Canis lupus familiaris: one gene and its partners. The protein of the gene in region 3 interacts with the protein of the main gene of each other region in a biochemical or structural test. Links are inferred from orthologs where the notes say so. Each region holds a gene or a part of one and is shown on either strand. Other genes may lie near its edges. The genes, in order: GABARAP, GABARAPL2, KBTBD7 and GABARAPL1.

The links.
Region 1: the proteins of KBTBD7 (region 3) and GABARAP form a complex in vitro, tested with the Homo sapiens proteins (2 studies listed by BioGRID and IntAct, with this or other methods). The link is inferred for Canis lupus familiaris from reciprocal best matches to the Homo sapiens genes KBTBD7 and GABARAP.
Region 2: the proteins of KBTBD7 (region 3) and GABARAPL2 form a complex in vitro, tested with the Homo sapiens proteins (2 studies listed by BioGRID and IntAct, with this or other methods). The link is inferred for Canis lupus familiaris from reciprocal best matches to the Homo sapiens genes KBTBD7 and GABARAPL2.
Region 4: the proteins of KBTBD7 (region 3) and GABARAPL1 form a complex in vitro, tested with the Homo sapiens proteins (2 studies listed by BioGRID and IntAct, with this or other methods). The link is inferred for Canis lupus familiaris from reciprocal best matches to the Homo sapiens genes KBTBD7 and GABARAPL1.

What each region holds. Positions count from the first base shown.
Region 1 is NC_049226.1:32,412,295-32,420,167, reverse strand, and holds GABARAP (gamma-aminobutyric acid receptor-associated protein), read left to right. Parts: upstream 1-3,279; 5' UTR 3,280-3,398; coding exon 3,399-3,488; intron 3,489-4,047; coding exon 4,048-4,126; intron 4,127-4,270; coding exon 4,271-4,389; intron 4,390-4,887; coding exon 4,888-4,953; 3' UTR 4,954-5,377; downstream 5,378-7,873. Other genes in the region: CTDNEP1 (CTD nuclear envelope phosphatase 1), read left to right, coding at 359-475, 694-805, 1,250-1,334, 1,621-1,681; PHF23 (PHD finger protein 23), read left to right, coding at 6,447-6,480. UniProt on the Homo sapiens protein: Ubiquitin-like modifier that plays a role in intracellular transport of GABA(A) receptors and its interaction with the cytoskeleton.
Region 2 is NC_049226.1:75,812,832-75,821,070, forward strand, and holds the start of GABARAPL2 (gamma-aminobutyric acid receptor-associated protein-like 2), read right to left. Parts: upstream 5,040-8,239; 5' UTR 4,425-5,039; coding exon 4,391-4,424; intron 4,067-4,390; coding exon 4,011-4,066; intron 2,878-4,010; coding exon 2,705-2,877; intron 1-2,704. UniProt on the Homo sapiens protein: Ubiquitin-like modifier involved in intra-Golgi traffic. Modulates intra-Golgi transport through coupling between NSF activity and SNAREs activation. It first stimulates the ATPase activity of NSF which in turn stimulates the association with GOSR1.
Region 3 is NC_049243.1:9,370,231-9,378,248, forward strand, and holds KBTBD7 (kelch repeat and BTB domain-containing protein 7), read left to right. Parts: upstream 1-3,767; 5' UTR 3,768-4,050; coding exon 4,051-6,090; 3' UTR 6,091-7,798; downstream 7,799-8,018. UniProt on the Homo sapiens protein: As part of the CUL3(KBTBD6/7) E3 ubiquitin ligase complex functions as a substrate adapter for the RAC1 guanine exchange factor (GEF) TIAM1, mediating its 'Lys-48' ubiquitination and proteasomal degradation.
Region 4 is NC_049248.1:10,356,753-10,363,720, reverse strand, and holds the end of GABARAPL1 (gamma-aminobutyric acid receptor-associated protein-like 1), read right to left. Parts: intron 5,301-6,968; coding exon 5,222-5,300; intron 4,164-5,221; coding exon 4,045-4,163; intron 3,160-4,044; coding exon 3,094-3,159; 3' UTR 1,825-3,093; downstream 1-1,824. UniProt on the Homo sapiens protein: Ubiquitin-like modifier that increases cell-surface expression of kappa-type opioid receptor through facilitating anterograde intracellular trafficking of the receptor. Involved in formation of autophagosomal vacuoles.

The DNA of each region.
Region 1 (7,873 bases), on a different chromosome or scaffold from region 3:
GAGGAAGCACGGGCTAAGGAGAAATGGGTACGACAGTTTTAGAGAGGAGAGGTTGTGGGACAGTCAGAGGAGGTTAGAAGACGGTTGGCTGGCTTTCAGCAGTTTGGGTTCATTTGTTGTGCTTATGTAATTCTGTTCTTCCTTGGCCTGCCTGCTCTTTAGTTGTGGCATCCCTGAATCTTAAGGGTGCACAGTGCCTAGGACTCTTGAGTTTGGGGGTTTTCAGAGTTTTGTGTTCTCAGAGATGTTTGATGTTGTTGAGAGGCCCCAAGAACCAGGCTGGAATCCTAGTGCAGAACTGTATGTCTAGAGGAACGGTCCCCTCTCCTGACGCCTCCCTCTTCCCGCTCAATCTCAGGTGAGTCAGTGGTATGAGCTGGTGGTGTTCACAGCAAGCATGGAGATTTATGGCTCTGCTGTGGCAGATAAACTGGACAACAGCAGGAGTATTCTCAAGAGGAGATACTACAGACAGGTGAGGGGCTGAGAGGAAGCTTGGCAGGGAGTCCACCAGGGAAGGATCTGAGTTTGAGGCAGCTGCCCTGGAATGGGATCCTGGAGGGAGGGTGGCAGGGGGAGGCATATACCACCTAACCCCCTTGAGGGAGTGGGCTGGCCGAGGGCGAGGTTGGGACTGGACAGCAGTCACAGGACCGAGTCTCCTCCTGATGCCCAGCTCGCCCTTCCCTCCAGCACTGCACTTTGGAACTGGGCAGCTACATCAAAGACCTCTCTGTGGTCCACAGTGACCTCTCCAGCATCGTCATCCTGGATAACTCCCCAGGGGCCTATAGGAGCCACCCAGGTATGCAAGAAGGCGGCCAGTCTGGCAGGACCGGCAAGTGGTTCTGAGGCAGCATTCTGAAAGCCAGGAGCCTGGGATTCCTGGTTTACTGTAGGTCAGGATGCAAGAGGTTTCTTTTACATGAGATGTCCCTCTTCCCTGATATACACCTTTCATAGGTCATGTTGCTCAGACCAAATTTGCTTCAGGTGAGACACAGGGGCAATGAGTTTGCCTAGAAGCCAGCCTCATGCTAATGTGAGATATGGTGATTTAAAATTAGTTTTATTTTGGAGGATGAATTAGGAAGGTTTCATTTAGGCTGCTGAGTTTGGGGGGGCGGGGGAGGAACCTATTTGAAAGCAATGATCCCCATTCCCAAATAAAAAGAAAAAAAAAAAAAAAGAAAAATCAGCTTGTCTCGAACTGTTTTTTCTCACGTGCATTTATTTTCATGTGTCCTAGACAATGCCATCCCCATCAAATCCTGGTTCAGTGACCCCAGCGACACCGCCCTTCTCAATCTGCTTCCAATGCTGGATGCCCTCAGGTAAGGGAAGCTAGACACTTAGGTTTCTGAGGAAAGGAGGTGGGGGATCCCAAGAGGGAATAAATATATGTCCTGTTTGACTTATTTATCTCTTTTCCCTTAAGAACTTAGCATTTGAACCCAGGCCTTCTTACAGTAAAGCTCATCACTTTTAGCCAGTGGGTTTTGGGCAAACTGGACCTCAGTTTCATGTGAGAAAGGTGATCATTTTGCCCCACATCTCCAATGAGGCTGCCTAACGCTAGTGTTTTGAGGACTCTACCAATGCAAGTTATTGTCGTCCCAGGTTCACCGCTGATGTTCGTTCTGTGCTGAGCCGAAACCTTCACCAACATCGGCTCTGGTGACAGCTGCTCCCCCTCCACCTGAGTTGGGGTGGGGGGGAAAGGGAGGGTGAGCACTCGGGATGCCGTCTGATGCCCTGTCCCATGGTGAGGACTGTCTGGGCAGGGTCTGCCCCTCCCGCCCCTCTCTGCCCTGGGAGCCCTGCACTCCACACGGAGTCTGGATGGACACATGGGTCAGACTCTGCAGCAGCCTCACTCTAACTTCGTGTTCGCACTCTCTGGAAACCCCAGACTGGGACATAAGCGGAGGCCCAGGAGAGTCCAAACTGTCTGGTGGAGACAGGACTGGCCAGAATGACACACAGACATTCGGTAATCCGGGAGGCTCAAAGAAAAGCCAAGCCAGCTTTGTTGTGATTTGATTTTTTAAAAACTCTTGTACAAAACTGATCTAATTCTTCACTCCAAGGGCTGGGCTGTGGGTGGGGAACTGGGATTTTGGGCCACTGGATTTTCCCCAAACTTGTCCCCCTGCCCCCAACCTTTCCCTCTACATTCCCTTCTTCCTATACTCTCAGACCTGTAACCGGCGCGCTCTCTTTTTCTTTCCTCTCTTTTAAACCATGCATTATAACTTTGAAACCAAAGCTGCCCTAGGTCCTTCTCTCAGGGTTGGGAAATGAGGGGAGGAGTCTTTGTTCACATCCACCCTGGCTCCCCAAAGCGGAGGCCGAGGCCCGAGGGTCAGGGAGCAGCGGTGCTGGCTCCGGAGGAAGGAGCAGGGAACGAGTCGACCTTTGGTGGGAAGGGTCTCGGCCGCAGGATGAGTGCCCTGGGTGGGGTCGGAGGGACAGCCGTGGGTCCCGGCGAACCAGAGCTGCAGGGCAGGAGGAAGCCGCGGTCCGTGAGCAGGCGCACCGACGTGGACGCAGAGAGTGCCCCGGCCCTCGGCCCCGCCCCCTCCCCTCCCGCCGGCGCCCCTCCCCCCGCGGCCGGCTCTACTTCCCGCGGCCGCCACGTGACGCTCCGCCCTTCTCTGAGATCACATGACTTTTCGTTGCTGCCAGTGCCGAAGGTGTTCCTCCGCGCTGACGTAGTCCCTACCTTTCGGACCTCCTCTCCGGTCCCCATTGGTCCACTCCTCCTGGGAACCTAGGCGTTCTGTGCGTTTCTGCGAATACCTGTTTCGTGTCTGCCCTCCTTTCTTCCCGGAGATCCAGCTTCTCCGTTTGGGTACTACTTTGTTTTGGAGTCAGCAGCCGCCTTCGGCGTACCGACGCGTTTCGTGAATAGCTGTCCTTAAAATTCTCTGCTTCCCCCCCTCCCCCTTTTCACCTTGTATCCGAAAAGACTTTTCGGAGCACCAAGCCTCAGAATACAATCGGCAGTTCCTAGCCCTTGTGGTGCCCAGCTCGGTGGGGCACGGCGGAATGTGGGTTTTCGGTTATTTTCGACCATAGCCCAGACCAACCACCTTGGCTACGTCGGCTGCGTAGCCCTCAAGCTGATTCCAAAGCGATTACGCAGGCAGCGTGAGGGGGGCGGTCAGTAGGTGGTGCTACGCCGGCGGCGTGAGGGCCGTTACGCTAGTAGCGTAACCCAGCGGGCGGGGCGGCCCCGACGGCCGGGGGCGGGGTTGGTGAATAGGGAAGTGGCGCAAGTCCCGGGATCGCTCCGCTGAGTCCGCCCGCGCGTCGCCGCCGTCGCCGCCGCCCCCCGTCCCGGCCCCCCCCCGGGTTCCCTCAGCCCAGCCCGGTCCAGCCCGGTTCCCGGGAGGATGAAGTTCGTGTATAAAGAAGAGCATCCGTTCGAGAAACGCCGCTCTGAGGGCGAGAAGATCAGAAAGAAATACCCGGACCGGGTTCCGGTGAGAACCATAGCCGGGGCCGCGGACGCGGGGCGCTGGCTCTGACGCCACAGCCCGGCTTGGGGTCCGGCGAGGCAGCGAGGGCATCGGGCTGCTGGCGGGGGTGGCCGGGGACCGGGCCAGGGGCTATCGTGTCCGGGAGCGGAGGTTGGAAGGAGCGGGGCGGCGAGGGAGCTGGGGGTGGGGGGCCGCGGCTGGCCGAGGGAGACGTGTGGAGTGCTGGGGAGGCTGCAGGGAGTTTGACAGTCGGGGCTTCCCATGGCCACCTCCCAGCTGGCCGGCTCGTCGAGGCCGACGCTGTCGTCGGCTCGCACGAGCCATGCCTGCCTAAGATCCTCGTTTATTATGACGCCCAGCCGGGGGATTCAGGATATCGAGGTGAGCCTGACGCTGCGGGGTCAGGATGCCTCTGCTTGAGGCTGCACCGCGTGTTCCCAGACAAAGAAAAACGAGTTGGATGGCTTGGGGTGCTAGCAGTTTTGTTTCTGGAGTTCTCGACGGGGTGACTGTGGGGCTGTCCCCCCTCGATGCTTCCTAATTTCCGTCTTTCTTTTTATAGGTGATAGTAGAAAAGGCTCCCAAAGCTCGGATAGGAGACCTGGACAAAAAAAAGTATCTGGTGCCTTCTGATCTCACAGGTGGGAACCTGACCCAGGACCCAGGTTTGCTGCCTGTGCGTGGGGGTGCAGTGTCGGTGGGAAAATGCTGCCTCCCCGTAGTGACTGCTCTTCTGAGGCCTTTTTTGATCCCTGTGACTTTATCGTATCTTGTCTCTTTGGCAGTTGGTCAGTTCTACTTCTTGATCCGGAAGCGAATTCATCTCCGAGCTGAGGATGCCTTGTTTTTCTTTGTCAACAACGTCATTCCACCCACCAGTGCCACAATGGGTCAGCTATACCAGGTATGGTGACTGGGAAGGAGTCAGGGGCTCCGCAGAGGTGTTGGAAGAGATTTTCAGGTCAGCAGTTCTTGGACTAGCTGGCTGGCTCTCAGTTTTACGTGTGACCTCAAAATTTTGAGGGTAGTCCCAGGTTGAGGGCTTGGATAAAGGTATTGGGAATAGAGGTGAGAACTACAGCAGTGCTTTGGATCCACCCTCTTGTCCACTTTCCCCACCATCCCAAGGCAGCAGATTTTGTGATCATGGTATCTCCCCTGCCAGGTAAGTATAAGGCAGCAGATTTTGGAACAGTTTGAGATCTTTTTGCCCAGGACTGCTGCCAGCGGTAATCTTGTTGGCTGCTAAGGCCTGGAGCAAATGAGTGAGTATGAGTCAGGGCACTAGCGTTTGGGGGTCTTCAGAAAGAACGGGCTTTCCAAAAAACGTGTCTGGGCAGTGGGTGGTTCACGTGCCCACAGCCCCGACGTCTGAGTGCCATAGTTTTCTGCCTCCATCCAGGAACACCACGAAGAAGACTTCTTTCTATACATCGCCTACAGTGATGAAAGCGTCTACGGTCTGTGAAGCTGCTGCCCCTGACGTGGGGGGGGGTCCGGTTCTACAAAGACAGAGGTGGCCCCCATCCTCGACCTACTCCTTCTTTGGGCTCATCCCTCACCTCCCTTTGTTGGGACCTGCACTTCCTAATGTTTGAGGCTCTCCTCCAGCCCTTCTCAGCAGGAGGGCTCATGGGGGAGGTGGCTTCTTGGACCTCTCCTTTCTCCCCTTCCTCTTCGACCTTTCCCACTCTGCTCTAGACTTCTTGATTGTCCGTCTCTGTCACATCCGGTGATTGTTTTGGTTTCTGTTCCCTAACTGCCCAAGGGGCTCAGAACCCCAACATTCCCTTCCTCTCATTACCTTCATTTTTGGGGGTAGAGGGAAGGGACTGAAATTGTTGGGGGGAAGGCAGGAGGCACATCAATAAAGAGGAAACCACCAAGCTGAACTGGATTTTACTTTGTGTTGCTTCCCGCCCCTTTTTTCCTAGTTGTCCTCTGGTGGGGAGAGTGGAGGTTGGAGGGGCAGTAATCCTACATTCTGGTTTATTCTGTTGATATTGGGTTACTGCTTGCGCAAAAGTATTTTTGTTGTGATCGAATACTCCCAAGTATCAGGTCATGAAACTATACTTTTATATACTTGTGTATTGGGTCCCAATGTAAAAAATACAGTGGCTTTTGTTTTTTTACTTTGGGTTCCTGGGGAGAAAGTAAGTATCCACTTTAGATAAATGCACCCAAGTTTGTTACAGCTTTTGGATGAAAGAAGAGATTTTCGTGCGTGGGAGCCAGTCAGAGGACTCTGTCCTGGGTTGCATCTCACTTGACCAGACTTGGTGCCAGTGGGTGGAATTCAAGGGAGCGAGAAGGGAGCCATTATCATCAGGAGAACTTCATCCCCCAGCAAGCATTTCTCCGCCTGGCCGGAAGTGGGGCGGTCCCCCGGGGGAGAAAGCAGCCGCAGAATGAGGCAGTATGGTGGCCGAGAGTTCTAATCCCTTCTTTTCCTTCTTTCTTAGTCCCGCCCAGCCTACATTTCCCAGGAGCCTGCGCGCGCTCTTCCGCTCTGCCCTCTGCTCCCAATCTCCCCGCCACTCCCCGGGGGAGGGGAGCGGTTTAGTGCGCCTGCGCTGTTCCTTGGCTTGCTGGGAAGTGAAGTTCCAGAGGCCTATGCGATCCCTTTTCCGCTGGCCCCGGACGGACTACAAGCCCCATGATGCATTGTGCGTCGGCGCCCGCCGAAGGGAGGGGGTAGAGAGGAGGGAGGAGGGAGGAGAGAGGAGGAGGAGGAGGGAGCAGGCGGCCGGCGGCGCGGGGGGAGGGGGCCCGGTCCGGGAGTGCGGGAGGCAGGGGTAGAGGGAGGTGGCGGCAGCGGCTAGCGGACTCGAGTCATAACCGGGCCGAGGCAGACACCTCTGTGGAGAGAGGCAGTAGGAGCACCGAGCACCGGAGGCGGCACCGGGATCCCCGGCTTAAGGGGAGGGGGGCGCCGGACCGGGAGGAGGGGAGGGGGCGATGCTGGAAGCCATGGCGGAGCCCAGTCCCGAAGGTGAGCTCTCGACCGGCACGGAGCGCTGAGCCGGTGGGGGGGGGGGGGGCGGGCGAGGAATCAATTGGCAAACTTGGAGGTCGAGCCCCGAAGCCCGGCGGGGGAGCGCGGGGAGGGGGTCGAGGGCCTGCCCCTGGAGCTGGGAGAGCGACGAGTTGAGAGACCTTGGTGAAAGAGGAGTGGGAGACCGGGCTGGGGGTAGTTGGAGATGAGACACCGAGAATGTGTGTGTTGGGGGGGTGGGGAGTGGGAGCCGGAGCTCCGGGGGTTAGGGGCCGAGAGGGCCTCCAGCACGTTGGGGCCTTGAGGCCGGGAGGTTGGGGGGGATCGGGAGCCCGAGAGTTGTTGAGGAGGGAGGATGTAGAGGAGGACTGAGTGAGGAGCCCGGTAGTTGGCCGAGGTGGGGGAGTTTGTGGCGGCGGTGCCGGAGCTCCGGGTAGTTGCCGCTGGAGGTGGCCGGGTGATTGTTGGAGGGCCGGGCAGAGAGTTGTGGGGAGAAGAGGGGGTCTGGGTATTGTCTGCGCTAGGGAGACCTGGACAGGGCGGGTAGTTGTGGGGACAGAACGCCGGGGAGCGAGGAGAGCCGGGTAGTTGTAGGGGCGGTGGGGCGGTGGGGCGGGGTGCGGGGGGGGGTGTTCAGACCGGCGAGTTGGGGGGGGGTGTTGGTCGGCGAGGGCTGGAGCCTGAGAGTTGCGGAGGGTGAGGGGGGCAGCGGCGGCGGCAGCGGCGGGGGTTGCCGTGGAGGGAGAGAGTAGCGGGGGGGGGGAGTGGGCGGCCAGAGTTTAGGGGTCCGCAGCCTAGTCATTTGGTGGTGAGTACGGGGGCGGAGGGGGGGCGGCGGCCGGAGGGCTAGGAACTGGGCCCGGGGGCCCGGCGGGGAGCCCGAGGAGCTCGAGACGGGGAGGGGCCAAAGCCCCGGATGGGGGCGGAGGGACGGCGAAATTGTGGGGAGCGCGGTCGGAGGGGGCAGGTGGGGCCGTCCGAGCCAGAGCTCTCCGGTCCGTCCCGGCCGCAGAGTGGCGTTGGATGTGTGTGCCTGTGTGTGTTGGGAGGGGGGTGGGGGTGAGGGGCGCGCCGGGCCTCGTGCTCGGGCAGAAGGGGCCGGAGGGCGGGGAGCGGTTCGGCGTGGTCATCCTGGACCCTGGGGGCCGGCGGGCTGCGTGTGCGGGCTCCGAGGGCCCCGGGCGGCGGATCGCAGCCGGGCGGGAGCGCGAGGCGCTGGGCGCGTGGGAAGGGCAGGGCAGGCGGCGGCCGGGGCTCGGTCCGGGGAGCGGTATGGCGGGGTGGGGCGCCAAGAGATCGAGTAGACTGTGGAGTCGAGAGAAACCGTGAGTTGGGGGGGCGGGGCGCCAGGCCTCCGGTGGGGGGAAGGGGAGCGCTATAGCGAGGCCGG
Region 2 (8,239 bases), on a different chromosome or scaffold from region 3:
TGGATGCAGGATCCTAGGCTGAGAATTCAACTTTCCAATGCTAAATGGGAAAGGGGAGTTGAGATCCTACCCCCTCTGCCCTGCTTTAAAAACAAAAACAGAACTCAGAATTTAGGAAGTAAAACTCCGGGACTTGCCTTGGTCTCTATTTCTAGAATCAGTATTTAATACTCACTAGTCTAAACAATAACCACATTTTACATGATCGCTTGTGTTCCAGAATACTCCGAAAGTCCCACTGCAAGGCAAGAATAACTGAAGTTACTTCAGCTCCACCTCCCACCTCTCAAGTGATCCTCACGCAAATCTGTCATAGGATGGGAGAAGCCTCCTTAGGCCTGGACTCATCCGTTCCAACTCTGATTTCCCCAGCCACTTTCTGAAGGCTGCAAGCACTGGTGGAAGGTTGAGGCCCCGCACTTCCTAAGGAGGCTGGAAGGAGCTGAGGAAGAGGCTGCTGTTAACGTGCCTTGGGGAGGAGATGGCAGGACTGAGTCACACATTAGCTTTAGCAGGAGACCCTGTGGCAGTTCCGTGTGTGCTGCTGTCAAGTGATCAGTATTTGCATAAGGCCCAGTGATGTCATATACCACTTTTGTTTAGAAACAAATTTTCTTAAAAAAACCAAATCGCTGTATTAAGTGTGGGGACAGAAAGTCATTAACTGGGGCCAAAGGCCCGGGCAGAGGAAGCCTGGTTAGCGATTCTCTAAAATCCTGACAGGGGTCACTGGTGTCATCTGCTTTAGGGCAGATTCTTACCAGGCTGGAAAGGCAAATGGGACTGGGAGAGAAAAGGAAGCAGCCTCTGCTGCCCTGAGAATTACTTTTGATTTCCAATTCTATTTATATCTCAGGGATAATGGAGGGAGGGGGCAGTTGCTAATCTGCAGCCATTTTAATTGCTAGATTAACATGAGGCCATCAGAGTAACAGTGTCTCCAGAAGCCTGCACATCTCCTTTAAGAAACATCAAAAGTGGGATGCCTAGGTGGCTCAGTGGTTGAGCGTCTGCCTTCGGCTGAGGCCATGATCCCAGAGTTCCGGGATGGAGTCCCACATCGGGCTCCCTGCGAGGAGCCTGCTCCTCCCTCTGCCTATGTCTCCGCCTTCTCTGTGTCTCTCATAAATAAATCAATAAAATCTTAAAAAAAAAAAAAAAAAAGGAAAAGGAAAAGAAAAATCAGAAGAATTGATCAAATAAATTCAAAGCCACAGGTCTTAGACACCTGCTTCCTTCCCTAAGAAGCCACTGCCAGGAAGGAGGAAACACAGAGTTACCCAGACTCTGCAGAAGCTGCAGGAGATGGAGTTAGCAGGAGACCCTGTGGCAGTTCTGTGTGTGCTGCTGTCAAGTGATCAGCAGTGTGATGACTGAAGATTCACCTCTCCACCACCTTAAGAGAAGCTGAGTTACGACTACAGATGCCCAGGGCTTCCTAACCTGATGAACCCAGCACCATGCTGCCTGGAGGTCGGGGAAGGAAGGCTGGAAGAGCCCCACCAGGTGTCAAGACCGCCTCTGCCAACACCACAGCTTCCTGAACAACAGCTATAGGAGACCAACAGCACCTAGCAGGCAGGCCAGGCGGATCTCCTCAGGCTGGACACTGACCTTACTGAAGAACCTTTCATTTTTCCCCAACCTCTCTGCCAAACACAGGAAATGGAGGTGGTGGAGATTAGGAAAGTAAATCAGATAAAAAAATAGCCAGAGCTATCTGTCATAGGAAAGGGACTAGATTTTGGCTTAGGTCTTTTCTGGAGCTTTCAAGGATTTTCAAAGGGAACATATTTTGGCCAAACTGGGATAGTTCCAGGGATTCTGAAAGCCTAAGCTTGCAGAAGTACTACCTTTAGGGGAGTAACCAATGAGACTTACTTGGAGTCTCCAAGATGAGATGTAGCCAGGAACTCACACTCGGGGGAGAGGGACTAGCATCTGGCTCAAGGGCTAATACTCAACCAGTAATGGCAAAGGACTGACCAGGAATTTTGAAGGAGCCAGTCCATTTTCTTTTTTCCACCAGGGACTAAAGCTGGGCTGTCAACTACACAGAAGAAGAGAATTATAATGCCCCAGAAGACTCGGGCCCCAAGTTATGCCAAAGAATGCTTCTAGGCAGCACAACAGCTAGAGCAAGGGGGGCGGTTACTCTGACAGTCGGAGCAGGTGCTACGAGGGGGGGTGTAAGTCTGTAAAGAGACCTCAGAGCCTTTTGCTGGACAGCAGCCATTCCAGCATACCTGAGGATCAGACAGCTACACACTCGCAGTGGCACAGAACTAAGTTTGGAGAGCAAGCAGGAGGATGATTAACTGAAGCTGAGCCTCAGCAGGGCCCACAAGCCCCTAGTGGAGAACGACAGGACTTATTTCATGGGTCATTTAAAGAAAACCTAATTTTAGGCTCATTTAGGTTCTAGTGATGGCTTAAGCCTAAGTAAATCCTGAACTGTTTTAAAGTATTCATCAGGGTCTGAGGCTAGATTTTTTTTTTTTTTTAAGTCCAACCTTGTTCTATTTTCTTAACCCAAAGTATATTCCCAGATACTGTAGCCCTTTCTTATTTTCCTTGAGCTCCTCATGTCAGGGAGCACAACATCCAGATTTCCAGTCAGGACCTCTAAGAGTTTTCTCACCTCCAAAGTTTAGAGTTCTGTAAGCAGCCAAGCAGGTGGCCAATGCTAGTAAACACTTCTCACCTGGACTGTGGGACTGTCTTATCCACAAACAGGAAGATTGCCTTTTCAGAAGGAAGCTGGATCCTTTTCCTGATGATCCACATGAACTGAGCCACAGTGATGTCAGATGGAACCAAATACTTCCGTTTGTCAATGTCGACAATCTGAGAGCCTGAGACTTTTTCCACAATCACCTGGGAAAGCAAAGAGAGATCAGGACTGGGTTTCTAAAGTGAGGCTCTGGCCTTGCATTGCCAGGGAGCTGATGAATACTATGTGGGCAAGGAGGTGGGTGGGAAACTGCACAACACTGGAAAATATGCCCCTGATTTAATAAACCACAAACTCTTAACTCTGGAGGTTAAGAACTGACATAAATGTATGATATGGAAACAGAAAGTGCTTTTCTGTGGTCAATTATGTTTATCATCCTGCATCTCAGCGAGCATAAGAGAAACACACGCCCTTACTACAAAGCTCTTCGACATTTTGTCTGGGCAGACCTGAGATACCTGGTTTCATCTACAGCCAGTTACTCCAAGACTCCAGAATGAATCTGCCTTCACACTACAGAGGAAGTAAGATCCCAAGGAACAAAGGGGAGAGGAATGGATGGACTAATGGGAATGAGTAAACCAAGCTCCTCATTTGGCCTGTTGCTTCTCCCTGAACTAGGTTTCAAATGTGTCCCTCCTAACCCCTCCTCAGAGTTTTGCTTGTTCAAACAAAGAGCTACAATAACAGACACGGATGTCCTCTAAAAATCAGTAAGAATTATAGAAACTTTACCCCTACCACGGAAGAAACAGGATCTTTATTACTGATTAAGGAGGAACCACGAAAGAAGGGAGTTCTCAGAGGCTTCTCAGATTTTTTTTGGTCAGCAAAGGATGACAGGGTCAGAGTGAGGAAAGGGAGCTAGAAATCAAGTAAAGACAGAGGCTCAAAGTTAAAGATGAGTGTCCTGAGACTAAAGTACCACTTCTAAGACCAAAGTGACAGTCTCCCTCCACCAGTGTTCCCAAAAGTGGCAGTGACCTGTTGCCCTGTCCTAGAACATCGTTCCTTACATAATTGGCGAGGGAGCCCAGAGGCTGCAGACAGCTCGCTGGCCTAGATCGGGAGATTCAGCACTGAGGCACCCTGAACAGCACCTGCTCAAGCCCCTCACGCCACGGCCCCCAAGGCCCCGAGCCCCGTCTGGCTTGTCTGCTCCTATAACTGGGACTGGAACCTCAACTTATCAACTGCTGAGTGGCCCGGGGCCCTATCGCGAGTCCTAGACGACGGGGTGACGACGAGGTGAGGGGGCGGGGAGTGCACTCACCGGAACGCGGTCGGGGTATTTCGCTCGGATCTTCGCGGATTCCACGCATCTGTGTTCTGTGGGAAACAGACGGGGCTGCCGGTCGCGCCTGCTCGTCCGCCGCTTCCCGCGCCCCCGACCCACCTCCCCCAGCGACCTGCGCACGCCCGGGTCCTTGTTACGGCGTCTCGGCGGCCTCGGTCCTCGGCCCCCGCCTCCCGGCAGGAGGGCAGAAGGCGGCACAGCGTCCGTGGGCAGCCGGCGGGGGCGCCGGGGCCTCCGCGACCCGAGGCCACAGCTCGGCATCCGCCCCGCCCGGCCCAGCCCAGGGCGGCCCGAGTGGGGGAGGGGGCCCACCCGCCGCCGCGACCCCCACCACCCGGCCTCTGACGGAGCCTTACCCAGCGAGTGGTCCTCCTTGAACATCCACTTCATGGCGACGGCGGGGAAGGGATGCAGCCGGCTCTCGGAGCCGCGGAGCTCAGCGAACCAACCACAACAACAACGACGGCAGCAGCGGCGGCGGCGACTACACGGCAGGCGGGACTTCCGGCTGCCGGAGCCTAGCAACCGGCCGGGGGCGGGGCTTCCGGCGCAGTTCGCCGGGACGCCGCGCCAGGGGGCGTGGCCACATTCAAAGGGGCGGGGCGAGCGGCGAGGCGGGGCGGGGCGAGGCGAGGCTACGAGGAAGTGGGGCTGATGACGTTGGCCACCCGGCAGTCCTGGAGGGGTTTCGGTGACGGGGAAGGGGATGCTGTCGGGAACTGCTAACAGGAACCGGGTCTCGGCGGACGTTGGTAACGGGAAGAGGAGTTTGGGGGTCTGGCTGATAGGATAGGGCGCTCAGAGGGCTTTTCATGAGGGAAGTCTCGGTGTCGGGAATTTTGGAGCATGAGTGACAGACGAGGGGTCTCTGATGGTCGATAATGGCGGGGTGGGGGAGATCTGTTTAGCGCATTGACAGTTTGGGGAGTATTGTTTGGAGTGGTAACAGGTTGGAGGGTGTGGCTAATTTGAGGGGCCTGTGTGGGGAGAGGTTCTGATGACAAGCCGGGGGTTCAGTATTGGAGACAGCCAAAACAGGTGGCCTTGGACCTAGAAATGGAATTTAAACAAAACCCTATTTCCTTCCTTTTTTCATGAATAAATAAACGTTTGACTAAACATGTAAGCACATGTATCACAAATAGACATTTGAGGAGCATAACATCTCACTGATCACAAAGAGACCCCTTAACCTTAACTACAGAGGACTTAGAGGTGACTGTCTGGCTGAGAGAATTCCCCTGAGAGTCATGAGACAAATTTCTTTGGCAGTCAGCATGGAGTTCAGCAATCACAGTCTAGGCTGTGCGTACGTGTGTCACCTGCCTGAGCATATGCCTTGAGTTCTCCAGTGATGTCACCTCTTTCTTCCTAGCAGAGTCATCAGGACAGTCTGCTCTGGGTCAACATCTGTTTACTAGCTGGTGAATATGTAACAAGAATATTCATTTAATTGGGCACATGATCCTTGTCATGTGCTTATGATTCTGATGCATCTGAAAGGATTGCATGTGTGAATATTGTCGTTCACCATTTCCCATAGTTGTAATTCCTGATGGATGCTGTGGAATCTAGCTTCATTCTAGAAGCATTTTGGTTATTTTAAGATTGTCTGAGCAACCAAAATAGGCTTTTGTTTGCTTGCTTGTTTTTAATGAAGTGAAAAGCCCTTTGAATTTCATACCTAGAAATTATTACTGCTGCATACAGGAGCACTGTTCTAGGTGTTGAGGAAAAGCAGTGAACAGAACATTCAGCTGTCAAGGAGTTTCTAGTGGGATAAGACAACAAATGTCAGGTAATGGTAGGCGCTGTTTAGAAAATAAAGCAGGGTTGGTGACGAGTGACAGTGGGGTAATGCTAATCAGGTAAAGTGGTTGGCATAATCAGGGACAGGAAGGAACCCCTTGTGGCTGGAGCTGAATTAGCAAGGGGGGGTATGTTAGAAGATGAGATCAAAGATATGTGTAACAAAGCTGTTGAGTTTTTTTTTTTTTTAAGATTATTTATTTATTCATGAGAGACAGAGAGAGAGAGAGGCAGAAACACAGGCAGAGGGAGTCGCAGGCTCCACACAGGGAGCCCGACGTGGGACTCGATCCCAGGTCTCCAGGATCAGGCCCTGGGCTGAAGGCAGTATTAAACCGCTGAGCCACCCGGGCTGCCCAGCTGTTGAGTTTTGAATTTCATGTGAAGAACTTTGGATGTTATTTAGAATGAAATGAGAAGTAGAGGATTTTAAGCAGAGGTGTGACATGGTATGGCTTTCCTTTTGAACTGAGCAGGCTAGCTTTTTTGTAGACAGACTCTAAGGGTTTGAGAATGGAAGTCAGGAAAACAATTAGGAAGCTATTGTGATAATCCAAGTGGAAGATGATGTTGGCCTAGACCAAGATAATGTCTGTGGGGATGGTGGGAAGCAATTATATTCTAGATATATTTTGAAGGTAGAGCCAACCAACAAAATTTGATGATAGATTGAATATGAAGTGTGAGGGACAAGTCAAAGTCAGAGTTTTTAGAAGGATGGAATTGCCATTTACTGAAATAGAGTGGAGCCAGTTGGGGAGGTGGGGATCAAGGTTTGGTTTTGGCTCTATTGAGTCTGAGATGCCCAAGGGACACATCCAAATGAAGATATATGGAGTAAGTGAATAGATCTATGAGTCTCAAATTCAAGAGAGAAGTATTTAAAGCTATTGAACTGATGAGATCAGCTAGAGAGTGAATGAAAAAACTGAAAATACCTATTTTGCAAATAGAATTAAACACTGAGGAATCAAAGTGGAAAGATCCCATAAGTCACCCCTTACAGGAGTGTAACCTGATGGTCTTCGTAAGGTGCAGTGTTTTTCTGTCTTCTATCTTTACTTACTTCTTTGATGTCTTTTTCCAGTTCACCATTCTAATTGGATTCTCTGATCTGCCCTGATGATATGCATCACCTTCTTTACCTATGGGGTCATTATACTAGCTTATTGAATGTTCTAAAGATACCGAATGCCTTCCTTGAGGGGGTGGCTAGTTGAAAAGATGACTCAGAAGAAAAAATAGGATAATTAAAGTATGCAGTTATATATTAACAGACTTATAAAATATGCAGAATAAATTTCAGATGTTGGAGAGGTCCTGCACTTGAATGCTGAAGGATGGTTAGGGCAATGGGGGCTGACACCAAACCAAGCGAGGCTTATCAAAAAAGACTAAACAGAGAATGTGAATCTTATGTGTCAGAGAGAAGTGTACATTTTTCAAAGGACAAACTTCGCTTAATAGACACAAAGACTGGGGTTAGAAGAGGGAACTGGGAAGCAATATAGACAAATGCTGGAAAGCCTTGATGTGAACATTCAGGCGTTCTGAACTGATTCGAGATACCCTGAATGGGAGCTTTTAGAAAGGAGTAGAACGTGATCAAAATGTGTAGTTTTAAGAGAACAACTCTCTTTGTCCTTAAAAGTAAATTCTATGAAGGTGCACCTAAGAGGCTCAGTAGGTATAGTGTCTGACTCTCGGTTCCGGCTCAGGTCATGAGCTCAGCATCCTGGGGTCAGGCTCCGCACTTAGCAGGGGAGTCTGCTTATTTCCCCCTCTCTGCCTCTCCCCGCCACTCACGTGCTCTCCTTCTCTCTAAAATAAATAAATCTTTTTTAAAAAGTAAATTTTATGAAACATGAAAAAATTATGGAAATGGAAACAGAGAAGTCAGTTCTCAGTTATGAATATATGACAATGACACAATATACACAGACCTTTAGCATTTTTAAAAACTAAAATTCCAAAAAAAAATAAAAAATAAAAATAAAAATAAAATTCCCTCTTAAAGAATCAAAATAAGACCACAAAGATTAGCTTCTTCAAATAATGGAAGCAAAGAGTAAGTATTAGTATCCATTATTATTAAATACTTTTGCAAAGCTCATGGCATCTCAGGGGAGGCACTTCACACACCTAAATTCTTAGGAATCACCACCTTGTTCTCAGCAGTGACTAAGCTGACACTAGCCACAGTATGTGTTTCCTTCTACTGAAAGAAGGAACTTTGAAGGCAAATGCCTCTTTCCTTGGTGTAGAGCTGCACTCAGGAGGTAACACTAGAACCATCGATTCCAGAATCTTATTTTAATGGTTATTCTTAAATTTTTAGTTCAGTGTAGTTAACATACAGTGGTGTATTAGTTTCAGGCATACAACATAGTGATCCA
Region 3 (8,018 bases):
CTTAAAGGACAGTTGAGTTGGCAATTCCATACACCCGTGTAACCACCAACCCAAGCAAGAGGAGAACATTTGCATCACCCCCTGAAACTTCCCTTGTGTTGCTTTCCAGTTGATCCAGCAATCTGCCAAAACCCCTTCTCCCAACAGTGGCAGCCTCTAATATGATTTTTTTTCTTCTAAAATGATTTATATTCACCATAACTTATTTTCACTATTCTGGAACTTCACCCAAATGGTCATAAGCTGTGTACTCATATATCTCTGGCTTCTTTAGCTCAACATAAAAAGTTTTGAAACCTCATATTATGGCATATATCAAAGGTGGTTTCTTTTTTTATTTCTGAGTAGTATTCCACTGTGTGAATAATACCACAATTAATCTTTTTCATTCCCCTATTGATGCACATGTGGATTGTTTCCAATTCTGGCTATGACAGATAAAGTTACTATGAACATCTTGCACAAGTCTTTTGTGGACATATATTTTAATTTCCCTTGGGCAAATAAATGCTTAGGAGAAATTACTGAAAGTTTAACATCCAAAGAAACTACCAGTTTTCTAAAATGGGTATACCAAATTATTATTCCTATATTAGTATATGAAGGTTCCAAAGGCTCCCTATCATCACTAACATTTAGTGTTTTTGACCTTTTTAAAATTTAGCCATTGTTGTGGGTATGCAGTGTATTCTCATCAACTTAGTTTGCATTCATCTAAGGATGAATGACATTGAACAGCTTTCTCATGTTTTTATTGAATATTTGGTTTAAGTATTACAAATATTTTTTAGGTTTTATTTATTTAATCTCTACAGCCAAAGTGAGACTCAAACTCACAACTCCAAGATTAATAAGAGTCGCATGCTCTTCCTACTGAAGCAGCCGGGTGCCCTTATAAATTAAAAAAAATAATTGTGTGTGTGTGTATGTGTATTGCAGACTGTGGCTTGTCTTTTTTTCACTGCCTTTTGAAAGGCAAAAGCTTGTAGTTTTAAGTTCATTTTATAGTTTTTTGTTTTATGATTAGTGTTTTTTGTATCCTAAGATCCAGAAGAAAGAAGCAGAGATAGTCTAGGTTTTCTTTTAGAAACGTTATAGTTTTCATTTCTTTGTTTAATATTGAGATCCATTTAGAATTAATTTTGTGTGTGTGGTATAAGCTAAGAGTCAAAATTATTTTTTTTCTTTTTTCTTTTTTTACATTGTGAACTGGTTGTTCGACACCATTTGTCGAACAGAGCTTCCTCTCCACAATGAATTGCAGTGATAACAATGCTGGGTTTCTAAAATTTTAAGTTCAGTTCCTCAGCTGAACTAGCCACATTTGAAGTACTTAAGAGCTACCTGTGGCTTCTGGCTACCTCCTCCTCAATCAGCACAAACATAAAATGTTCACAGGATCACAAATTTCTGCGGCAGCACTGCTCAAGACCTTAGGGCACTGCGTACTAAATACTTTTGGATTGTGTAAAAGGTAATCTAAACCAACTAACAAAGGGCAGATATAAGGAAGTTAAAAAATCACTGAAGTGATATGCAGTTCCTAAGGTAGTCAAATTCAAAAAGACAGAAAGTAGAATGGTGGTTACTAGGGAGTTGGGGGAAGGGGGGAAAGGAGAGTTACTGTGAATGGGTACAAAGCTTCAGTTCTGCAAGATGAAAAGAGCTCTGGAGATAGGTGGTGGTGATGGTTGCAAAACAAGGTGAATGTACTTAATGCCAGAGAATCTAAACAACTGTCTTAAAGAATTGTTTAAAATAGTAACTGTATATGTTGCCAGCATTAAAAACAAAAAAATTATTGTTTTTTTTCTCCCAGCTGTTTTAGTGCAATACTGATTGAAAGCAATCAGTAATGGTCCAATTCTCTCAAGTATATCTGAAGGATACCCAACAAAGGTACAGAGGAGATATTAGAGCTCAGTGCCCTGCTTAATAATGTTTCTCTACCCTGGAGTATTTCCAGTAGAAGGTCTTCAGTGAATAGGAAAGGAGAGCAGAACAATTTGAGTTACTCCCCTGCCCTGAGTTCTCTACCCACCAACCTACTACTAAAGATTTCACGAAATTATGCTAACGCATGACAAGCCAGTGGCAAGAGCAACATGATTTTTGAAGTAAAAGTTCCCTTAACACAAAACTCAATCTCTAAGCACTTGATATTGATGATTTAACGAAGAATGTGGATCAGTACATATAGAGAACACTTTTGTAAAGCATAGATTGAACTATATTAATTCAAAATACTGGGCAAATAAAATCTTTAATAAAAAGGGGGGGGGGGTCCAGATCCCTGGGTGGCTAGGTTGTTTAGCGCCTGCCTTTGGCCCAGGGCGCCTACTGGAGTCCCAGGATCGAGTCCCGCGTCGGGCTCCCTGCATGGAGCCTGCTTCTCCCTCTGCCTGTGTCTCTATGTCTATCATGAATAAATAAATAAAATCTTAAAAAAAAAATACTGGATAACCCAGGGGGCTCAGCAGTTTAGCGCTGCCTTTGGCCCAGGGCCTGATCCTGGAGACCCAGGATTGAGTCCTACATTGGGCTTCCTGCATGGAGCCTGCTTCTCTCTGTGTGTGTGTGTCTCATGAATAAATAAAATCTTAAAAAAAAAAACAAAAACAAAAAAAAAAAAACTGGGGCATGCATGAATACAGAGCTCTGAGGTCTGTTTGTTTAAATCTTTTAATCTACAACTCCCGTTTTTATCTCCTTGATAAAGATAACTACATAATCTTAGGCTGATTTGTGGAGAGGAAGGGAAACGAGCAGTATTAGACCAAAACATTCCTGCTAAAAGGTTACGAAAGGGCTTCTGGGTGGCTCAGCCGGTTAGGCGCCTGCCCGGGGTCCTGGGATCCGGCCCTATCAGCAGGGAGCCTGTAATCTCCCTCCCCCTCTGCCTGTCACTCCCCTGCTTGTGCATTCTCTCTCTAATAAGTAAATAAAAATCTTAATTTAAAAAAAAAGAAAAAAAAGCTTATGAAAGTAATCCTGCTCCCCCTGCGTAAATATTGATTTGGTGAGAGGTCAGCCCAGCTATGCATGTGCCTGAGCTGCCTGTTAGAGGCCTGAGCTGTATGTCAGAGGCCTGAGCCGCACGTCGGAGGCCTGAGCCGCACGTCGGAGGCCACCTCTCAACGCTGTTCGCCAGGACCTCATCCTTGTCCACGACACCCTAACGAACCTGTGGATCTCATTTAGTTCTGAAAAGATGGTGGTAGCCTTCAGAAGAACCCTTCAAAAGAAGCAACAGTAAAATTAAGATTCCTCACACAAATCGCTCACGGCTTCGCACGCGGGCACATTTTTAAAAACGCATTGGGAGACGCCACCAGTGGCTGAATCTGTATATTCCAGGCACTTGCAAGCATGTGATTAATCAGCAGGTATTCGCTGAAGCATCCTGGGACCTGCGCAAATCCACCTCGCTCCCACTCTCACATAATCCTATGAAAACTCGTATCCCCCGCTTTACAAAGAGGGGAAAGTTCTCAGAGAGAAGACCAATACCAAAACGGAGATTTTTTTTTTTTTTAAATAAAAAAGAACATCAAAGCCAAAGCTCTAAAACCAACAAACCCAGATTAACGCTTTTTCGAATTCTGTCAGCTAAAAGTCCGCCCGCCCGGAGAAACCTCGCGATATTCCTCGAACTACCACTCCCAGCGTGCACAGCGGCTCCGGCCCGCCCGCCGATCCCCTGGAGTCTGGAGGGGCCCCGGCATGCCTCGGGGCGCGAAAGGCAGCCTGGGAGCCGTAGTTCCGCTGGACGCCTACCGGTATTGCCAGCGCGGCAGTGGCGGCTCTCTCGGTTCCGTCCAGCCGGGTTCTGTAAGGCGAGCTGAGGCGGAGAAAAGGGCGCGGAACTGGAAGCGGGTGAGTCAGGCGCTGGCTACGCGATAAAGGGAGGCGGCACCGCGGCGCGGGGCTGAGTTGGGTAAGTGCGGCCCCTGCAGTCTCTTCAGGGAGAAGGCGAGGAGAGGGCGAGGAGGAGCCCGCGCCCGGTCCGTGCACCCGTTCTCGCCCTCGTACCCCGCCGCCATCTCCACCATGCAGTCCCGGGAAGAGGCTCCGCGCCCCCGCCGCCTGGCCAGTCCCCGCGGCGGCAGGCGGCCCAAGAGGATCTCCAAGCCCTCGGTCTCGGCTTTCTTCACGGGCCCGGAGGAGCTGAAGGACGCGGCTCACTCCGCAGCCCTCCTGGCGCAGCTCAAGTCCTTCTACGACGCGCGGCTGCTGTGCGACGTGACCATCGAGGTGGTGACGCCCGGCAGCGGGCCCGGCACCGGCCGCCTCTTCCCCTGCAACCGGAACGTGCTGGCGGCCGCGTGTCCCTACTTCAAGAGCATGTTCACGGGCGGCATGTACGAGAGCCACCAGGCGAACGTGACCATGCACGACGTGGACGCCGAGTCCTTCGAGGTGCTGGTCGACTACTGCTACACGGGCCGCGTGTCGCTGAGCGAGGCCAACGTGCAGCGCCTGTACGCGGCCTCCGACATGCTGCAGCTCGAGTACGTGCGGGAGGCCTGCGCCTCCTTCCTGGCCCGCCGCCTCGACCTGGCCAACTGCACCGCCATCCTCAAGTTCGCCGACGCCTTCGACCATCATAAGCTGCGATCCCAGGCCCAGTCCTTCATAGCCCACAATTTCAGGCAGCTCAGCCGGATGGGCTCAGTAAGGGAGGAGAGCCTGGCGGATCTGAGCTTGGCCCAGCTGCTGTCCATCCTGCGCCTGGATAGTCTAGACATCGAGAGCGAGCGGACCGTGTGTCACGTGGCCGTGCAGTGGCTGGAGGCGGCTCCCAAGGAGCGCGGACCCAGCGCTGCGGAAGTCTTCAAGTGTGTCCGCTGGACACACTTCAGAGAAGAGGATCAGGATTACCTGGAGGGGCTGCTGACCAAGCCCATTGTGAAAAAGTACTGTCTGGACCTTATCGAGGGGGCCCTGCAGATGCGCTATGGTGACAAGCTGTGCAAGGCTCTGGTGCCCAAACCAGATAGCAGCAGCAGCTGTGTTGTGCCCACAGCAGAAAACCCACCCCAGAGGCTGGGTATGTGTGCCAAGGAGATGGTGATCTTCTTTGGACATCCCCGAGATCCCTTTCTGTGCTACGACCCATACTCAGGGGACATTTACACCATGCCATCCCCTTTAACCAGCTTGGCTCACACCAAGACTGTCACTTCCTCAGCTGTCTGCGTCTCTCCAGACCATGACATCTACCTGGCCGCGCAGCCCAGGAAGGACCTCTGGGTGTACAAGCCAGCCCAGAATAGTTGGCAGCAGCTGGCCGACCGCCTGCTGTGCCGGGAGGGCATGGATGTGGCCTACCTCAATGGCTACATCTACATTTTGGGTGGGCGAGACCCCATTACCGGTGTTAAACTGAAGGAAGTGGAGTGCTACAGTGTCCAGAGAAACCAGTGGGCACTGGTGGCTCCTGTACCCCATTCCTTCTATTCGTTTGAACTAATAGTGGTTCAGAACTATCTTTATGCTGTGAACAGTAAGCGCATGCTCTACTATGACCCGGGCCACAATACATGGCTGAACTGTGCTTCTCTTAAACGTAGTGACTTTCAGGAAGCCTGTGTCTTCAATGATGAGATCTACTGTATCTGCGACATCCCGGTCATGAAGGTCTACAACCCAGCCAGGGGAGAATGGAGGCGGATTAGTAATATCCCCTTGGACTCAGAGACCCACAACTACCAGATTGTCAATCATGGCCAAAAGTTGCTCCTCATTACTTCTACCACCCCTCAGTGGAAAAAAAACCGGGTGACTGTTTATGAATACGATACTAGGGAAGACCAGTGGATTAATATAGGTACCATGTTAGGTCTTTTGCAGTTTGACTCTGGCTTTATTTGCCTCTGTGCTCGTGTTTATCCTTCCTGCCTTGAACCTGGACAGAGTTTTATCACTGAGGAAGATGATGCACGGAGTGAGTCTAGTACTGAATGGGACTTAGATGGATTCAGTGAGCTGGACTCGGAGTCAGGAAGTTCAAGTTCTTTTTCCGATGATGAAGTCTGGGTGCAGGTGGCACCTCAGGGAAATGCACAGGATCATCAGGGTTCTTTGTAAATATTTTGAAGCACTAAGATGTTTCTACTTCTATGGAATGTATCTTTAAAAGATATCCCTTCCTTTTCATGAAAAAAAAAATGTTGATTAGGACTGCAGATTTGGTTTAGAAAGGGTAACATTTGAATTACTAATGTAATGTTACAAAGTTAAACAGTCCATGAAATCAACCTATATGATAATTTATTATGCTAAAAGTCAAGATTAAAATATGCAAAAACAAACTATGTAACTGATTAGAATGCTTGGTGGTTTCTTGGTTGTTCGAGTATTTGTTGCACCAGTGGATTGTTTTGGTTAGTTTACACTGTTTATATTTTGATTATCTACGTTTGTCTTCTGTTAACGTTTTAATTCAACTTAGTGCCACAAGGAATTTAACTTTTTAATTTTTATAGTAGAAAATTGAACTAGAAATTGTTGGTAGGGTTTTGAAGGTTGTATTTTCTTTTAGAATAATGAAAGTAGTAGATTTCCCAAATTTTGAACTAGCCAGTTTCTAGTATTATAAGTTACTATCGTTTCTATCGTTTGTTAAATTTGGTGTGGTTTTCTCCCCTTCTGCAAAGAAAAAAAATTGGTTATATATATATATATATATATATAAATATATACATCCATCCAAATAGGGATTTCATTTTGATAATGTGCAGAATGGTCTTAAGAGCTCACAGAAAGTAAAAAAAAAAAAAAAAAAAAAAAAAATCAAGACTCCACTGCTTTAAAAGAAATTTCACTTTCAATTTTGGAATATAACATGTATTTCCTGAGTGCGGCCATTTTTCTGTCTTAAAAAACATTCATTCTAGTAGTGTCATCAATTATTTAAACACCCTTCTAAACCAAAAGAAAAAAGGTAACTTGCTTTGTAAGATCATATTTTTCATCTATACCTGATACACGCTTCATTGAATCAAAAGGAACGATCCTTTTTTTCACTGGACATGTGATTGAGTAATGTAAATGTTTATCCATTGGTCATGACTAGTCTTAAACAGTGTATATGCTTTCGTAAAATATTTTTGGCTGTATAGTTTCGGTTTTCATCTTAGAGGATTCTTCAGCAGGAAGTGATATATTCTTTACTGCTTTTGTGAGGTAATACTGGTTTTGAAAATATGTTTAAGCTGAAAAGAGTATTTTATTGAGGTCAGTCACTGTCCATCAACTATAAAATTAAATGCCAGCAGAGACCTTTAAAACTTCAGGCTGTGTATGGAACTGTTTTGTGTAGCATTGAAATGTTCTGTTGAGTTTTGTAAGTCACTGTATATGATTATCATCCCGAAGGTATTTTTGTATTAAAAGTTGACATCTAAAGAACATAACTGGATGATGCCATTTGGGGCCAATAGGGAAAGTTTATTTCCTGTAAAATATTTCCCTAGCAATGGTATACATGGTTATTTTATTAGGGTATTTGTATCTGTTCTGTATTTCTCTGTGAACCATGCTCCGGGCTTTGTGGGGTTTTGTTTTTGTTTTTGTTTGTCTTTTTGTTTGTTTTTGTGTCACTATAAAGTAAGGGAAAGTCCAGAACTAGAGACTGAGTCACACAAAACTGATACCGTTAAATACTGAGAAACAGAGATACTTACCTTTTTAAGGGTCTGTTAATACATATGATTGTCACAAAACACATCCATGATAAATGGTGTACATATATATATATATAGATACTTACAGGTTATAAATTTTTCTAAACTGACTTAGAATCCTCATTTTGCATCTTTGTTCAAAACGTTAATTCCTCTTACATATGTCTATTCTCTAGTGACCGAACACTAACACTAACATTTCTTATACCATGTCAGAGTACTGAGGACTGTGCCCCAGGATCGGGAACTGAATCTTGAATTTAAAAAAGAGAGAGAGAAAATAAATAAATAAATAAATAAATAAATAAATAAATAAATAAATAAATAAAT
Region 4 (6,968 bases), on a different chromosome or scaffold from region 3:
GAAACCATTAATGTATCAATCAGGACAATAGGAATGATTCAAGGCTATCCTAGGGAAACAGATCTAGGCTCATATGACATGCTAGTATTTGAGATCTTTCTACCAAAATATAGCAAAGGACTCACTCATCTCTGCTACTGAGGCATACTGGACTCCAAGGGAATGGGCTTTTTGACACATCATTCAACCTTGGTCTCCAGAAGAAAGTATCAGGTAAGTCGATCTTACCTGGGACATGAGGCCAAGGTTAATGAAAAGGCGTTTCCAAAAGTGTTTATAGAGTTCAAGACTGACACAACTGCCTGATGACACAGAGCAGCTTTAAAGCTTCCCTAGCAGGAAACCAGAAGACACACTTGAGAGATATGGTTCACAAAAGAGCATCAGACACAGCACTCAAGTATCTGGTCTGGCTCTGCACTTAGCTGTTATTCAGCTTTATGGACCTATAAAATTAGAAGAGGGCTGGTCTAAAATGGCATGAAATGTCCCACGCAAGGAGCAATTTTTCCTACCAGGAATATCCAGAGATAAGGAGGACTGGCATAAAAGGCTGCCTCAGGGAGAACCTCCAAACTAACTACTACTTTGATTTAGCAATGGCCCGGGTCTCCTGCACTCACTACAGGGACGGTTTCCAATTTGTATAGAGATCTGGGATCTGCCATGTATTTGTTTGCTTTTAAACATTCACTGAATCTCATTCCTCGCTAGTGGGTTAAGTCTTTTAGTTTCATAATATAGTTTGTATCTTAATTCAAATATTAGCTTCCATTTGATTTTGGCAGAGACAATGCCCCAATGTTTTTCTGTCAGTAGTGACAGGTGTCCATTTTTAAGTCTTTTTTGTCAAAATCCAAATTCCTTAGAGTCTCCCATAATTCTCTGCATGTTGTGTTTGCCGGGCTTGGACTTCTTCCTTTCCTCTGAATCCTGACTTAACTTTCTCAACCAGTACACACTGGACATGGTTTGGTGGTGGGTGAAATCTTGCCATCTTTTGTAACTACCTGTTTCTGTCTGTCTGGTGACTGTCATATAGTCCATAAAAGTCTACAAAGGTAGATTCCACTTGGACACACAGCTGCAAGAGATTAAAGAGAATTAGACATGACTTTTAAGGTCAAAAAAGGAGTTTCCACTACTTTGGTTTTTTATCATCTTATAACCTGTACCCCCACTGCCCATCCACATTTTGCTTCCAAATGAATGAATGAAAAACTCTCATATGGTCAGAAGACACCAAGCTTGTTCTGACCTCAGGAGCCTTACGTATGTGCCAGTTGCTGCTCTGGGAGATGGTGGCCTCACACCAACCACAATGTGGCAGACAGAATAGGTTTGGTTGGCACTCAAAACAAAACCAGGTATTGAGAGCAATGCCTCTCCACCTTCGGCATGCAGCAGAATCAGGAGGAGCTGGTTAACACCACAGACACCTACGCTGAGAATGACTCAGCTAAATGTAGGATGAAACCCAGACATCTGCATTTTTAATAACTACACCCCCGCCTTACCCCTTATAGTCTCACCCAGGCAGTGTTCCATCTTCAGCTTTGAGAAACACACAAACCAATGACAAAGCATTTATCTGTGGAGCAGAAAATCACACACGTATCACCAACACACCAGGCATGCTACCCCACCACGCTCACCTTTGAATAACAACTCGTGGTAAGTAAAGAGGTTTACTTAAACCTCTATACATCTGACATACGTGAGCATCCATTTCTAACAGCCACCCTCACTCAGTTTTCTGCTCAGAGTCCACACACCACCTATTCTACAGTACAGTCAATAAAAGCAACATTTCTGAACTCATGGTTGGTTTTCAAGGTATGCAATTATTTTATTTCCTTGGCCTGACAGCATAAACTTCATTACACAAGAATCTGCAGCTGACAAAACGGACACAGATTTCTCCCACAGGAAGGACCCTTTTCATTAGCAGAGATGAACTGAAATGTCACGTCTGAGTGCGATTCCTGCTCCCCGCCCCCACCCACATAACCCCAAAAGTGAAAATAATCAGAATCCATAGAATCCCCATTTAGTATTAAGTCATTCCCTCACACTTGTCTAACTAGCAGCTGCACTACATGGAAACCTAAGTCAGGAGGCAGCTGGCCATCACTTAGCAGATCTGTGTGCCTGGGACTGAAGAGGCGGGAACAAGGGAACAAGAATCCTGGCTGAGGCAGAGGCATAGACAAGCTGTCTTACCTCATACCTGCCCCCCTTCCATACATAGGACATCTCTGTCCCTACACATGGAGCAAAGTTTGGGAAATGCTGAAGGAGGTTTTAGCCCATAATGGGAAATGGTTGTCCTCACTGAGGTGTGGGATAAGGGGCACCAGAGAGAGAGCAGGTTAGACAGAGATGCTCAACATAGTCAATTCCAGTTTAATGCTACCAAAACGATCTTAATAGCCAAACTATCCTTCATGCCTGGCCCCTGTATTCCAGTGGTGAGAACGCTCCATCTAAATATCTGCCTAATGGCTATCCGGACCACTAGGTGGTGCTGTGGTGTCTGTAAGTGGAATTATGACAGGGATGGGGAGGTGTGGAGCTAGGTCAAGGTCACAACGCTTTAATTACAATGGGTCTCTTTTGGTCCCTAGGAATGATCTACTACTCGTGGTCCTAAGACATCCTCATCCCTTTCCCTACCTGTCTTCTGCAAATGTCAAAAATAGAATCTCTGCCCGAAGAGGAAGGAGAGCAGGAAGTTACTGGTGGTCTGCAATCATCTCTGGCCCCATCTTGCCCACCTCCTGCCTCTTCTGTGAAGTCACACAGAAATTAATTCACAGAAATGCTGTGACATTAAATCATCTTCATTCCTCTATCAAAGCCAATCCAACACCTCTGTCCTGACATGCTTTCTCCCTGGGCCGAGGAAGCAGCAAAAATTATCAATTGAGCATGTGAAAATATGATGACGGTGTGTGCGGTGTAGTGTTTCCAGATGTCTTCCCCTTCTGTCTCCTCCACGGTGGGAGCCCTCCCTCTCTTTCCCCAAGTCCCACACACACCCCTCCCCCTACCCCCGAGTCCAGGTGCTCCCATCTGCTGGGCTTCCACCACTCACTTCCCATAGACACTCTCGTCACTGTAGGCCACATACAGAAAATAGTCTTCCTCATGGTTGTCCTGAGGGAGGAAACAAGAGGAAACATCATACTCATTACCTTCAGGATTCTGAGCCTCACACAAGGTAAGCAGGTTTTGCAAGGCATCATTAGCCTCCACTGACCAAAAAATAAGAATACACAGAAGTGACTGGAATTCAACTTCTGAGTTCACAAAAAATCTTCAAGAAGAGTATCGATACGTACAAACATCAGGGATAACAACATGACCCTTTAAAAAGCTCATTCTAGCAAAAGGGAACACAGATACTATATATATACTATATATATATATATCAGAATATACACTAACAGGAAATATATGCTATGGAATAAAAATAAGATTGAGAGATTGTTAGAAAGTTTACACAATTCACTAACTCACAGGGCACAATAAGAAGGCAGTACAATGTAAAATCCTTTAAGGAAGAATATAGCCACAAAACTGGGTGACAGAGCATGACCGAGTCCTTTCCAATAGTCTTCTCATTAGATTCTGACAGCTTACCAATTAAACCAAATGAAATCAGCAAATTATTCTCTCCAACTGAGTTTATCTGTTAAGACAAATGAATCAATTTAAAGGCTTTGCCTTATAATTTTAAATTTCATTTTATTTGGAATTTGCAATCAGAAACAATTTCTTACTGTTTCAATAAAGATGATCCAAGATTAGAACCCTAGAATAAGGCAAAACTGAAAGCTCAAAGAGAATGAATCTAGTAGTCAGCTCAATCCCTAAAGGACAAGTGACATTTAATCTCTCAGAGCCTTACACTGCTGTGTGTAAGTGGATACAGGGAAGTAACACCTCCTGCCCCACTTCCCAGGTGTGTTATCAACAGACTCCAGAACAAAGGCTAGAGAACACGAGACTACACAGTATTGTCGTGACCAGAACACTTACCTCATACAGCTGGCCCATGGTAGCACTAGTGGGAGGGATGGTGTTGTTGACAAAGAAGAATAAGGCATCCTCAGGCCTCAGGTGGATCCTCTTCCGGATTAAGAAGTAGAACTGGCCAACTGGATAAAGGAAGAAGGTTTTAGAAAAGGAAGGCAATTAGGGAAGACAAGGGATTATGAGAAGGGGAAGGCCCAGAAAAGAAAAAAAAATCTGCTGCACCTGCTCCACCGCTTAAAGTGCCAGCTTTAGAGAAAATCTCAGCAGAACCAAATACAGTCCTATAGCTGTAGAAATAGAAAATGCAACTCTAATAAGCCTCCATATTCCCAGACAGGCCACTAAGAAGCTTATTCTCCAATCCTTTCCCTCTTTACTCAGTTTTAAACTTAATGTTAGCTTATCCACTCAAAATCTGATGACTTTGAGGGAATCCTATGTACATCGAGACCAAAATACTCTTCTTATCATTCTCCCAAGGGGATCTGAAATGCACTTCCATCCTCATTCCCACCTTATGACAAACCAGTGATGTGGAGAGGTCTACTGGACTCCAGTAATCTCAGCATGGTCGCCCATCCCAAAGTCCAGGCAATGAGTGGGGTTCAATGCTGTACCTTCTACCAAGCATACTGAGAAGTTCTAGAAGGCTGACATTCAAATCTAACAACTCTAAGGCAAACACATCTACAAAACCTTTCCAGTGATTTGTATAACCACTGGTTATTCCATTAAAGATCACTAAGGTGAAGAATTAATATATTATCTGTAATCGCAAACAGTATCTACAAGACATATTATCAAAAACCATAGCTTGAGAGGACAAAGTATTCAGCTGAAAATCTAAAATGTGATCCTCCCTCTGACTTTCCTTTTGGAATAAACTGGTATCACAATAACAAAGCAGATTCTAAGTGGTTTAAAAATGTGGGCATCTGGTCATTGCTTTGCAACGATGTGGATTCTACCGTGTCTAAACCACACAAGATATTGTGATGGAAAATGTGTAAGGGAACTGGCAATTGGGAAGATCATCTGGCTATGTTTGAGTCCCCCAAGTCTCTGAAGAATCCTACCCACATCAACTCTACTTCGTCTCAATCCCCCAAGCTCATGCACACAGGAGGGACCAACGAGGCTCTGCCATAGAGGGAGGATTTAGAGAGGGAAAGAGCATTACCAGTGAGGTCAGAGGGCACCAAGTACTTCCTCTTGTCCAGATCGGGCACCCTGGCTTTAGGAGCCTTCTCCACAATCACCTGGGCGGGAGGAGAATGAGAATGAAAAATACAGAATCTAATCTAGTATTTTTCCTTCCACATCCTACAACTGCCATATTTGAAGTATGTTTGTCTAGACCCAATAAAATGTTCCCATTTCTCATTTCCTTTTATCTTACAAAACCAAAGGGTACATGATCTTCATCAGTAAGGCTGTAGTTCTATTACTGCAATAAGAAGAAAATGGAGGGCATGAGATGAAAAGTAAAGAGAACCTTGATTTAAATAATTACAAGTTACCTCCCAGGTATAGGATCTATACTTCCTGGTATTTACTGAGAGCATCAAAAGGACTGTGCATTTCTTCAGATGCTCCTACGTACCTACTGGTTTTATTCTTTCTAATGAATGGCATTAATTAAAGTTATGGATAAAATGGGATTTACATTTTGTACTTTGTCGAACTTCTCTAGAGTGACTGCAAAAAAATGTTCAAGGCACTGTCTTATTAAGTCAAAGAAAGTACTGAATAGTACTTAGAGTATGAGATCCTGTAACGTGAAGTCACTTATGATAACCTATTTATCAATATTGGTTGGTGTTATAAGGATTTTCAATGTCTACATTAAATATGTCTATGATCAAATTTTTTTTTAAAGATTTTTATTTATTTATTCATGGAAGACACAGAGAGAGAATGAGAGACAGAGGCAGAGACACAGGCAGAGGGGGAAGCAGGCTCCATGCACCGGGAGCCCGACGTGGGATTCGATCCCGGGTCTCCAGGATCGCGCCCTGGGCCAAAGGCAGGCGCCAAACCGCTGCGCCACCCAGGGATCCCCTCTATGATCAAATTTTATAAGGATCATATATTTCTCTAATGAAAAGAAAAAAGAAAAAAAGAAGATATATAAAAATTAAAGACTTTATGCATAAAGTTTCAAATATTAATTTAAACAACATATCTTTAAGAAATAATTATAAAAATATACTTAGTATTTATAATTTATGTAACTTAACTGAAATTATAAATATTTAAAATCTTTTGTAGGGCACCAGGGTGACCCAGTGGTTGAGCATCTACCTTTGGTTCATGATCCCAGGGTCCTGGGATCAAGGCCTGCATCAGGCTCCCTGTGGGAAGCCTGTTTCTCCCTCTGCCTATGTCTCTGCCCCTCTCAGGAATAAATAAAATCTTAAAAAAAAAAAAAAATACAATCATTCTTGATCAAACACACAGAAAATCTAGAAGAGTTACAGAAGTAGAAGTAACACTAGACAAGTATCCCAGGGAACTTTGTGATCTTCAACAGGTCATTTAACTTCTTTGAACTACAGCATTCCGGTGAGTAATAGGAAGATGAAACTTTCCAATATATCTTCTACAGTCATGGTACTCCTACAGTAACTTTGAGTAATCCATAAAATTTTATGTGAAAATGTTTTGTAAATTATGAAGAATTATCTTAATAAAAGGAACGATTTAAGAGGAGAGACTTGGAGGCTTGAAGCTTTTAAATGAAAGGGAACACATAAAAGGAGTAAAAAACATTATTTTGTGTTTCTGGAGAAAAAGAATCCTGAACCAGGAAGACTGAAGGGACATGATCCCTCTAAAAATTTAGAAGTGAAAACCAGAAAAAAAAATACGTGAATCAGAAATTTAAAAGAAAAAGTAGGAAGAAGTTCAGGGATAGACCAGTGAAG